3 linked regions of the Oryzias latipes genome follow. The protein of the gene in region 2 interacts with the protein of the main gene of each other region in a biochemical or structural test. Links are inferred from orthologs where the notes say so. Each region holds a gene or a part of one and is shown on either strand. Other genes may lie near its edges.

The links.
Region 1: the proteins of lrp2 (region 2) and dab1 form a complex in vitro, tested with the Homo sapiens proteins (2 studies listed by BioGRID). The link is inferred for Oryzias latipes from reciprocal best matches to the Homo sapiens genes LRP2 and DAB1.
Region 3: the proteins of lrp2 (region 2) and clusterin form a complex in vitro, tested with the Homo sapiens proteins (3 studies listed by BioGRID). The link is inferred for Oryzias latipes from reciprocal best matches to the Homo sapiens genes LRP2 and CLU.

Annotation. Positions count from the first base shown.
Region 1 is NC_019862.2:3,647,188-3,651,455, reverse strand, and holds the start of dab1 (disabled homolog 1), read left to right. Parts: upstream 1-1,395; 5' UTR 1,396-1,656; intron 1,657-4,268. UniProt on the Homo sapiens protein: Signaling adapter of the reelin-mediated signaling pathway, which regulates the migration and differentiation of postmitotic neurons during brain development.
Region 2 is NC_019879.2:21,664,433-21,668,084, reverse strand, and holds part of lrp2 (low-density lipoprotein receptor-related protein 2), read left to right. Parts: intron 1-134; coding exon 135-245; intron 246-348; coding exon 349-462; intron 463-556; coding exon 557-673; intron 674-1,169; coding exon 1,170-1,313; intron 1,314-1,407; coding exon 1,408-1,527; intron 1,528-1,637; coding exon 1,638-1,766; intron 1,767-2,647; coding exon 2,648-2,817; intron 2,818-3,652. UniProt on the Homo sapiens protein: Multiligand endocytic receptor. Acts together with CUBN to mediate endocytosis of high-density lipoproteins. Mediates receptor-mediated uptake of polybasic drugs such as aprotinin, aminoglycosides and polymyxin B.
Region 3 is NC_019882.2:19,519,644-19,522,795, reverse strand, and holds the end of clusterin, read left to right. Parts: intron 1-47; coding exon 48-246; intron 247-322; coding exon 323-466; intron 467-540; coding exon 541-761; intron 762-1,304; coding exon 1,305-1,480; intron 1,481-1,556; coding exon 1,557-1,569; 3' UTR 1,570-2,551; downstream 2,552-3,152.

The sequences.
Region 1 (4,268 bases), on a different chromosome or scaffold from region 2:
CTTGTTTTGCTGTGCTTCAGGTCTTGCCTTCCACGAGTGACACCCGAGTCTTTCTACCACCCGAGCTGAAGCTGAACTCCTCTACGCCTCCAAAGAACTCCTGCCACGTCAAAGCTAAGATCCAGAGCTGCCTTCATCTTACATATCCTCCATCCTGCTGACGATCTGCTCCATCTAGTCCCACGACGCTCCACGCCTCAAGATCCGCTGGCTCCTACAAAATAAAACCAGTTACTTTCCCTTTCACTTACCTGCCTCCTCCTCCTTCCGGGTTACAGCATCTGGGTTTGTCACGTGATCCGATCATGACATATTTCAAGCACCAGTTGCTCCAACTGCTGCTTGGTTCAGGGATATTTTAGAATGTCCCTCATTATTTCTTTGCGGCAGTGTAGACGCTACTCAGCGTCTATCTTCTTCACTGGTATGTGTGCTCAGCAAGGCAGTTTTGTGTTTGAGCGCACCCAAGTTGTGTTTTACTGTAACTTCAGAAGCTCCAGACACGTGTGCAAAAGCGCCATTCTCATTGGTCGAATAGATTTCGACGCGACGTGTCAAACCAAAAAGAAAAACGAACCCGAGGCGTTTTTTCGCCTCGGGTGACGCTTTGACGCGTGGCGTTTTTTCGCGTCGGTATGCACACTCACATTTGTGCCTTTTGTTTAGTCACGAGGCGTTAAACGTCGGCGAAGATCGCGGGTGAAATTCGTCCCGGTGTGAACAGGCCTTAAGGGTCACAAACTCTCCAAAGCAACAGATTTGGAGAGGAGGATCAGAACAGGCTGAGATAAAGACAAGCTGGCTAATCGTTCAGATTTAAATTTTTCTTATGCCTCCACTAACAGAGAAAATACAAAACCTCATCTTGATTTGCCGAGTGGGTGACTTGTGTTGTGGTCTGCAGACTTAGTTGTGGGTGGTTATCGAGTCAAGAGGCTCAGTGAGTGATTGGAGCTGGCTGCACCTCTATGCATTCATGATGGGGTGGGCTCTGGTGAGTACGCAGAGTGAAGAAGTGGCTGTGTGATGATGGGAAAGTTTGACCATTGTGAGAATATAGGGATCATTGGATGTACTGATTGTCCAAAAAAAAAAAAATCCCCCCTTTTCTGTCCCAGGACGGATGCCCTTCGCAACTTTTCACAAATCTGCATCCAACCTCACCTCTGTACATTAATCGCTTCTTTCATCTCAGTTTCTTCATTATATCTTTAATCTTTTTTTTCATCCCAAAACGAGGCTTTCCTCCTCCCCCCCCCTCCACTCCACTGTTACTCTGAAAACTGGAAAATCAGGACAGTTCAGCAGTGGAGGGGTTAAGATGGAGGCAGCCTTGTGATTGGCTGGCGGCCGGCGGTCTGATCCATCCTACAGAGAGAAGTAACCAGGCAACCTCAGTGAGGGAGAGGAAAGAAGAGGGGCCGGAGGACTGGGGAGTAAAAGTGAAAAGGAGGTGCTGAAAGGAGCGGGGTTCTAGTTTGGGAAGGAGTGTGTGAAGATGGAGGGTCGCCTGGAGACGCTCTCCCCGGGATGGGAGACGGGATTACTCTGTGTGGATGTCTGAGGAAAGCAGAGGAGCTGCGCTACAAGACGGGATTCTTAAACCTTTTTCTCGAAATGGGAACTAAGTCTGACCAGTTTCTCTGCAGCGCAAAGGTGAGTGGAAATGTGCGCAACAGCCGGCAGCGTCTGCGCAGACGGTGGGAGCATGCGGCGGACTTTGGCGCCACAGTTTCAGCCTGTGGATTCTGTCCTCTGCATGAATGATCTGCTGCTGGTGCTGCGTCAGGATGTGACCCCCCCCCCCCTCCACCTCACTAGGAGCAGTGGTCGGGGGCAGTTATGTGGGGGGGTGTTTGTTTTGTTCGGCGGGAGGACAGGAGGGGTTTGCCGCATTTGAGTGTGGAGGGACGCGGCGCCCCTCCCTGAGAGGACTGTTTAACCCTTTTCTGGCAGAGCGGAACCCTCCTGACTTATTGTTAGGGGCCTCGGACCCCAGCGGAAGAGGCATCCATCACCAGGGGCCACAGAGGCCCCCCGTCTGTGACTAAACACATTTGACACTTTCCTTCTGGTTTGTGTTGTTCTATGACCCAATAAAGTTCCTAAAAAGCTGAACGCATTGCCGCGTCCTGCATGCGTGATCTGCGGGCTCTCTGCAGCTCCTCAGTCAGTGGGAGTGAAGTGGAGTGGACCGTGGAACCACGGAGGTTGATGGAGCGTGGATCTGCAGTCAGTGGGATGCAGCAGCCTCTCCGTTACTAGATGGAGAGGGCAGCCCTGGAGCTCTGAGGGCCCCAACCAAGGAAGGACCGGCACCTTCCTCCTTGCAGTTTCTGAACTCCTGTTGTTTCTCTGATGGCTGCTGTTTTCAGAAGAGAACTTGTTTGTTCTTTTAGCTATGGTGTCATTTCAAGTTAATCCAATTTCAGATTGAATCCTTTTTGCAACTTTTCTACAGTTTTGCTGAACAGACTGGTGCCTTCATGGACCAGCTCACTTTAAGTTGTACTAGAAACCTACAGACTATTGCTCAGGAATTCAAAGGAAACACTGTTGGAGGCTCTCTTTCTGACTCTCTCACCTTCATTTCTCATGTCTGTCTGGTGCCTCTATGGTAGAGGCCTGAAACGTAGTTTACCCAGGGGGCACTGCAGGCAGGGGTCTGTGTGAAGCTGGGCCACATGGGAGATAAAAAAAAAACATCTGTATTAACAGTTTGAATTATTTCTTCTGAACATGAAGTGTCCTGAGAGCACTGATTTGGATTATTGCCTCTGAACGTGGCTTCTCTTGCCTCCAGACTTGGCAGCACTTCTCACATATCTGAGCCACATTTGGTTTGACAGAGGAAACAGCTGAGCTCCTCAATATGATCATGGCAGGTCTAGATCTACACTTGGATTACTGAAGCTCAAGGTGAAGAAGAAGTTTTTGCATAAATATGTTCTCCCAAAAAGGAACACGGTCGGCTTCATCCTTTGGGAAACTCAAAATAGCTGGGAGAAAATCCTCCCAAAAATTGTCCAGGCTTGTCTACTTCTGTACTCTCCCTCCTGAGATTGGCTTGGAGGTCCAAGCTGTATTGCAGCTCTATGAGCTCCATTTGAAGCACAGGAGGGGCATCTTGCACGTTAAAGGTGAGGGGTTCTGGGATGGCGAATGCTAAAAAGGTTGACAGCTGTCTCGCGGTTCATTACACTCTGGGCTGTTGTGGTAAGCAAGGAATACATGAAACTGCAGAAATCTTTAATTCCGAAAGGGTAATTGAAGTTTATTCTGGCATTGAGAGCTTGTTTTGTGTACTTGTTAGATGAGTGTGTTTACACTTAAAAATAAAACTCTCAGTTTTCCCTGAGGACAGTCCGGTCCCGCTTAGATTGGTCCAGCCGATTCAGCTCATTGGCTTTTGGTGCTATGAACAAAGCATTAAATGTGGTTGGAGAACACAGAAAGCCCACAACCCAACGCTGCTGCATTGGTGGGAATTGGGGATTCTACTAGCCGAAAACTATCAGTCCTTTTGAGGGATGGCTGACAGCAATCTGGTTGAGTGGACCTCTGATTGGGGGAGAGAGGTCCACTGCCCTCGTGGGCCGCATTTTATTATACTTCGAGCCACAAAAAGAAGTGCTGTGGGCCATAACTGGGCAGCTGTGGACGATCAACAACTTGAATGTAGTGTGACTGTGACACAAACTCTGACAGAGAATAAAGAACAAAGAAAACAACCAAGGACCAAACTGAAGGGCTCAATCCTTATCCTCCAATATTTGTAAATTATGGTAGAAAATAAGTATTTGGTCAATAACAAAAGGTTATCTCAATACTTTGTTACATACCTTTGTTGGCAATGACAGCATTCAAACCTTTTCTCTAAGTCTTCTAAATGTTTTCACAAACTGTCGTTGGTATTCTGGCAAGATTTATTCTTAACTACATTTATCTGCAGTGCTGCAGCGATTCATTTTAACAACGATTAATTTGTGGTCACTGATCTGATTCAGAATCAATATTTGTTCATTTTGATCGATTGTCTGACCTAAATGGATCCAGAACGTGTTTGTCCAAACTTCAGACAGAAATTCCTGCTACTGAACAGTGAAGTTTTCCAGATTCTTGGATTTCTTCCAGATCATCAAATGTAAATGAAATCTGTGTCCAAACAAACAAGTAAACTAGAATGAATGTCAAATCCATTCACATGTTAGTTTCCTAAAGTTCACCACTGTTGTTTTTCCACATCCAAAGAATCCCTGGTGTTTTCC
Region 2 (3,652 bases):
TGGTGTTCTTTCAGGTTTTAGTCTCACATCCTTCCCTTTCAGAAACCCCTTTTCTTGGTAAAAGCGGAGAAGAGCACAGTTGTCAGGCTGATTTGAGTGCTTAACATTGGACTGATGATGGGTTAATCTTACAGATTACCCTGAATGTACACAACTGAGGTGCACTAATGGGGCCTGCTACGACCGGACACAGCGGTGTGACCATGTACTTGACTGCCGTGACGGCTCGGATGAGGCCAATTGCAGTAAGCAGTTGATCAATCTTACGCAATAGCCTTTTATACTCATTGAATACAACTAAAGGCATAAACTCACCCCTAGATAAACCCTCTGTTTTGTTTTCTTTAGCACAGCACTGCAATGCGGGAATGTTTCAGTGTCAAAATGGACTGTGTATTCCTCAACGCTACGTCTGTGACCACGATGATGACTGTGGAGACCGCAGCGATGAGCTCAACTGCAGTTCGTGCTGATCTGCTTTACTCCACCATATCCATAATGACCTGTTTCTCACCAAGTAGAAAAACAAACTGTTATTGTGGTTTTTTCTAAACAGCATATCCCACATGCAAAGGGAACTATTTTACCTGCCCTAGTGGTCGTTGCATCCACCAAGTTTGGCTTTGTGATGGAGAAGACGACTGTGAAGACAACGCAGATGAAAAAGGCTGTGGTAAGGATGGAGAAGTTCAAATGAAGTGCTTACGTTGCATATTTTGGGATTAGAAAATCTCAGATAATCCGGTGGTTAAATACCACTAAAAAAAGTAAAAGCTTGAGCTGTGGAAACCTGATCCATCTGTAGTCCCCTTGGTTGGTTTGCTAAGATTCGTGCCTACGTTCTTTTAAGTGTGATATTCAAATGACTCTTTGTGGAAGAAGGTTGTCCAGCCCCCCCCCAAAGGGCTTTAGAATTCCTCCACATGGCTGTGAAGACTGGGTTTTTAGGAGACAGGCTGCAAAAGGCCTCTATTTACCCCTTCCCACAAACAAACGCACACAGAGACACAGCTTCACTCCCTTTGATAACTTTTAAGTGATTTTGAGATCGCAATCATACTTAATCCAAAGTTTTTAATGACAAAAACAATTGCATGTTAAGCTCTGCTGTTTTTTAAACTTCATTTTACCTTCAAAATAAAGGGGTTATTCATTCATGTTTTCTGTAGATAATGTCCCACGGGAATGTTACCCGGGTGAATGGCCCTGCCCATCTTCTGGAAAATGTATCCCAATGGATAAGTTGTGTGACGGCAGAGTTGACTGTCTTGATGGAGAGGATGAAACCAACACCACTGCCAGCCGCAACTGCAGTCAGTACAAATGCAGCTTGTTAGCCTATCGTCCTCTTTCAAGCTGACTTTGAGCGTCCATATTCATTGACGGTTTGATTTCTGCTCTGTTCAGGTATCTGGAGATGTGCTTCTTTGAGCTGTGAGCACCGCTGTCATGCTTCCCCTGATGGAGGAACGTGTTCCTGTCCATCTGGATATGTTGTCAGCGGCAATGACAGTCGCTCGTGTGTAGGTAGGAATCCTTCCGTAACTTGCTTTCATTACATTTCCCAACTTACCATTACATTATTAATGTACATTGAATTAAACATTCAATCCACTTTTTTATGGCACCATGTAAAGATTTTGATGACTGCTCCATGTGGGGAGAGTGCGACCAAGTGTGTGAGGACCGAATCGGCTCACATCGCTGCAGCTGTCTGCAGGGCTATGTTCTGGAGCAGCACAGATACTGTAGAGCTGACATCCAGAGTAAGTGGCACTCATCATTTTGTTGTAAATATCCTATGTTCAGACTGTAAGAACATAAATGATGCATCTGATGATGTGTAATAGCTTAAAGACCTATTCAAATGAAAATAGTTTTTTTTACATGTTCTTCTAGAATTTTTCTCATAGAGGAAGACATATCTAAAAAAATTTTTGATTAAAACTGAAGTCATTTGAATTGTGGTGAATCAGAAGCAGGCGAAATAATGTCATCTGGCTCAAAACTGTACGGCTGGATAGCTCTGATACTGCTTGCAGTGTTTGTTGCACTGGTAATGTTAGGTTGGATTGTGAGGGGCTGTCAGCTAGCGGGAAAGAAAAAGGGATGATGGGAAATGAAGGTAGACTCACTCTGCGCCAACAGTCCTGCCCAGAACTCAGAGGTGAATTTCCTTTTGCTCGACAAAAACTTTGCCTTAAACAACACAGGGTTTTTTTTGTGGCTAAAAACGGCAATTATACTTAAATGCTTTTACTGTTGAAGGTTTTTACAAAAGATGATCAGAGGGGGCCACCTTTACACAACTCTGTTTTTTGTCAGTGGCTGCAGCGAGTGCCCACACTCTTCTCTGGTGCATTGCTGCATGGCCAGTGTTGTTTTAGTTACTCTTGTCTGTATTGCACTTACAGAAAAGTTTTAACTGACCTCTTTCCCTCCAGCTTTAGTGAGAGTAGTGTCCAATAGTGACTTCTCCGTTCATTATGACCCATAAGCTTTATTTAGTAAATTTACACTAATCTTTTCGTAGAAAATCTATTTACTGTAAACCAGATTACTTGTTTTTGACTTTTGGTTCTAACTGAATGTTCATGATTCTGATTTGATAAGTCTTACAATTCTTTGTGTTTTGATTTTCTTTTAGCTGGAGTTCCTTCCTTGATATTTTCTAATGGCAAAGACCTGATAATGGGCGACATCCACGGCAACAGTCAGCATGCTCTGATCAGTTCACAGAACAGAGGGATCGCGGTCGGGGTTGACTTTCACTATAATCTTCGTTTGATCTTCTGGACTGATACCATTCAAAATAAGGTATTTTATGTCCTATTTTCTGCTATTTCTGTTTGTAAAAACAACCACTGCAAAGCAGAAGAACCTCTTACAGTCAGTAGCTCAGTTCTTTGAACACATTCTTGAGGTAGACTTTCGCTTAAAAGGCCAAAATTTTTTGCGTTATCCTAAAAAATATCAGAAACTTTGATACTATAATAACAGGGTCGTTTTTGGCCCCATGGTGGCTGTCTCATAATGAAGGGAAGTAGATATGTAATAGAATCTAATCTTGAGAGCAGTCTGATAGGCAGGTATGATGTCCACATACCAAGGTCTAATTTTTGGAACTTGATCTAGTCTGAACTAATCATGCTGTATTTTTTTCAGCAGCCCTCTCCATATGTATGCATTCTCTGGCATGCTCATCTTGTGTCTGGAAATGTGGTTCTCATTGGTTTAAACTGGAACCATTGTACCTTCGGCTGGGTATCAGTGCATATTAGCCACCTCCATGGCAGCATGTCAGATTAGAAGTAGGGAGAGCACAAACAGGGCATGTGAATGCAACCAGAAAGGTTAAACTACCCGGCTCTTTCCTTGTCTTCAGTTTCCCTTTAAACAGGTCAGTTGAAAATCCTGCTTTTTAGATGTCAGGATGTGGTTTCAAATGAAGCAAAGCTGCTAAAAGCTGTCCCCCTTCGCAGTCAGCTGTGTGGTGCCAAGGTCTCTATTTTAAGTAAGTGTTGGGGCATTAGCAGGTGTATAGCTTTAATGCAACAGGACTCAAAATATATTCTCTCAACACACAAAACTGGGGATTCTTTTTGGTTTTGCCCATCAAATCTGTTTGGTGTCTTTGAGTTTATTGTGGTCT
Region 3 (3,152 bases), on a different chromosome or scaffold from region 2:
CTGGAGTTGGTTTGTTGAGACGCTGAACTTCCTCGTTTGTCCTCCAGGTGGCCGATCACATCCACCTGAACCCTCCCGTCTTCTTCTTTCCCCATTTCCTGTCTCCGTACGCTCGGCGCGCCAGGAGCATCCGCTCCCTGTTCCAAGATCCCTTCCACAACTTCCAGAGTCTGTTCTCCCCCATGATGGGGAGGAACTTCTTTGACTCCATGATGGACATGAGCAGCGACCCTGTCCCGAATGAGGGTGGGTGATGTGTTGTTTGCATATAATATTTGCCCTGGCTGAAATTTCTCTCCAAACTATGTGTTCCTGTGGACAGCAGATGGCGACGTGAACGAGGACGTGGTGGTCACCAAACCTTTTGGCAACGGCAGGATGACCTGCAGAGAGATTCGCCGCAACTCAGCCGGTTGCATCAAATTCCGCAACGAGTGCGAGAAGTGCAAAGAGATCCAGCATCTGGGTGAGAGGGCTGACCCCACACGGCGGCGGTGGTTCTAAAGCGCGGAAGTTCTCCAACGCTTTTCCTGTCCGCAGACTGTGACGGGAAGAAACCTCTGGAGGGCCCGCTGAAGGAAGAGCTGGAGGAGGCTCTGGCCACGGCCGAGCGCTTCACGCAGCAGTACACCAGCCTCCTGCAGAGGATGGAGGAGCAGCTGTTCAACACCTCCTCCATCCTGGACATGTTCAACAAGCAGTTCGGCTGGGTGTCAACTCTGGCCAACAGCACCAAAGACGGCCTTTTCCGAGTCAAGGCGGTGCGTAGTCTGGTGATTCCCATAGACGGAATTAACAAACCGGGAACGATTCTAGAGAATTCTTGTTTATATATCTGATTAAGCTCGTCAGTCAAACCTTTTGAAATCATGGAAGGATGTCTATGTTTAGCTGAACTTTGGTCATGTTTACCATAAATATATAGTACCTATAAAAAGCAGTTTTTATGACTTTTTTACTCCAAAATACTTTAAAATTGATGATTTTTCTTTACTTAAAAGGATTTTAAACCCATAAAACTGCTTAAAAGGATGCAGTGTGTCGACCAAATGGGTACATATTTAATTAACATAATTATATCTATAATTTACGGGTTGACAAAATTGGATTGGAGGCGAATTATCCTATGATGTGTGAATTTGAACCTGTCTTTGTCCTTGTTTATCCAGAACAGATATAAAAAAAAACTAACTACTGCACCTTAAGGATTGTTAGATTTCCAAAATTGACCTAAACTTGATGTCGTGGCCAGTGTTTAATGGTTCCTGCAGTGAACTCATCAGTGCCTCCTGGCTGTTCTGCAGGTGATAAGCAGAGACTCACCCACGGAGGAGAAGCCTGCAGAAACCAGTGTGGAGGTGCAGCTCTTCGACTCCCCGCCCATGACGTTCACAGTTCCGGGCGAGATCCCCTGGACCGACCCCAAGTTCTCTGAGGTGGTGGCTCAGGAGGCTCTGGACCGCTACAAAGAAATCAGCGTGTGAGTGCCGAAGCCTGCACTCAGAAATACAGGTTTCTCTCCTCTGGGTAACTCAGAATGGTTTGTTCCTCCTCAGGGTTGTCAAATAAACTGGGTTTAAACCAAAAACCCGAAGCTTCTCGCTGACCAGAGAATGTTTCGACCTCAAGCAGACAGCAAGCTCACCCGGAGACAAACCCTGACGCCTCCTGCTCCTCCTCAAGCCCTGCTTCTGCAAACACTCTGGAACCCTCTCATAGGTTTTATTCCTTTAGTCCTGCTGTGAGGCGCTGTGCTCTTTAGCTGCCAACGGGAAGGCCTCCTGAAACAGGGAAAACACTGCAGACGTTTTTAGTGCGCACCTTTTTTTGTATTTGTTTGCATAAAATGAATTTGTTGAAGACGAGATTCTAGGTTGTAAGATTTGAGATTGTTGAAAAAGAGAAGAAACTGGAATAGTGTGTTTGTGATAATAAATGTGTTGCTTTAAGGCACTCTATTAAAAATGTCTTTTTTCCTTTTAAATAGATATGTTATGAACAGTAAAAGTGGATTTCTTTCTTGATTTTATTTTCAATAAGTAAGTTTTTTTTGTTTGACAAAAACATTTCATGCAGAAAATGACGATTTAAGAGGAATTTAATGCTTTTTAAATTTGCTTTTATTTAGTCAACCAGATAATTCCTAAAATCCTGCTCCAAATTGGTATCAATTTTCTAATGTGAAGTATGAACAGGAAATGGAGCTGGCATCGGTTCCACAGTGTTGAAGTGGGCGGGGCCAAAATGGGAACACCTCTTTCAGTCTGAAGGGGTTAAAAAACTGGAGCGAGCAGTAAAAAGTAGAAGAAAAATGTTCAGAATGACCTGTTGGCAGCTTTTACTCTGAAAGTACAACATTCTTTTGTGGCCCTTTGGGGACAAAGTTCTAGTACATTTGGACTTTCATACAACTCCAATAATTGATTACGTATAACAAAAAATATATTTTCTAGCCTGACATTGGACTCCAGTGGGAAAAAAGGATGCAGGTAATTATTTCTTTTGCATCTTAGTCGTTTTACCCGAAGCAAATAAACGTTTATACACTTTGTTTGGAACGTCCTATTGCATTTGGTGCAAATGTCAGTTAATGCGACGGATCATATCTGTTTTGCCTTTGAAACATTGAAATATAACATAATAATGAAAGAATCAGTGTTATATAAAAATAAATCTAATGCAACAAATCAAAGTTATTCAAGCAATAATTAGGTCATCATAACCTTCATCTTTAGTTCCCTCTTCTTCTTTTTGAATCTGGCAACCAGCCTGTTTATAAAGTAGCATCAGCATTGGAAAACAAATAAAAAAATATTGGCTAAAATTGACAAAATATTACATTTATATATTTTTTAAAACAATGAACCCACCCCAGGGGAGTTATGCAGATCTGTAGCCCCTCATTTGAGGCCTGCAGCTCCACGGTAGCTTCTGATGAAACAGGAATATCAGCTTTTTACCTTACCTTTGGTTTTCTTCATCCATCCTACCAAAAGCCTCTCAGAACCAAAGCTGCAAATATCCCATAAGGTTCTTTTACATGATTTTATGGTTTGGGGGCTCCAAATTTACTTTATTATGATTTTATAGTACGAGGTCCTGTATGTGAGAACTGGACTGAGTGACTCCTCCCCCTGGTGTTCTGAGTACCC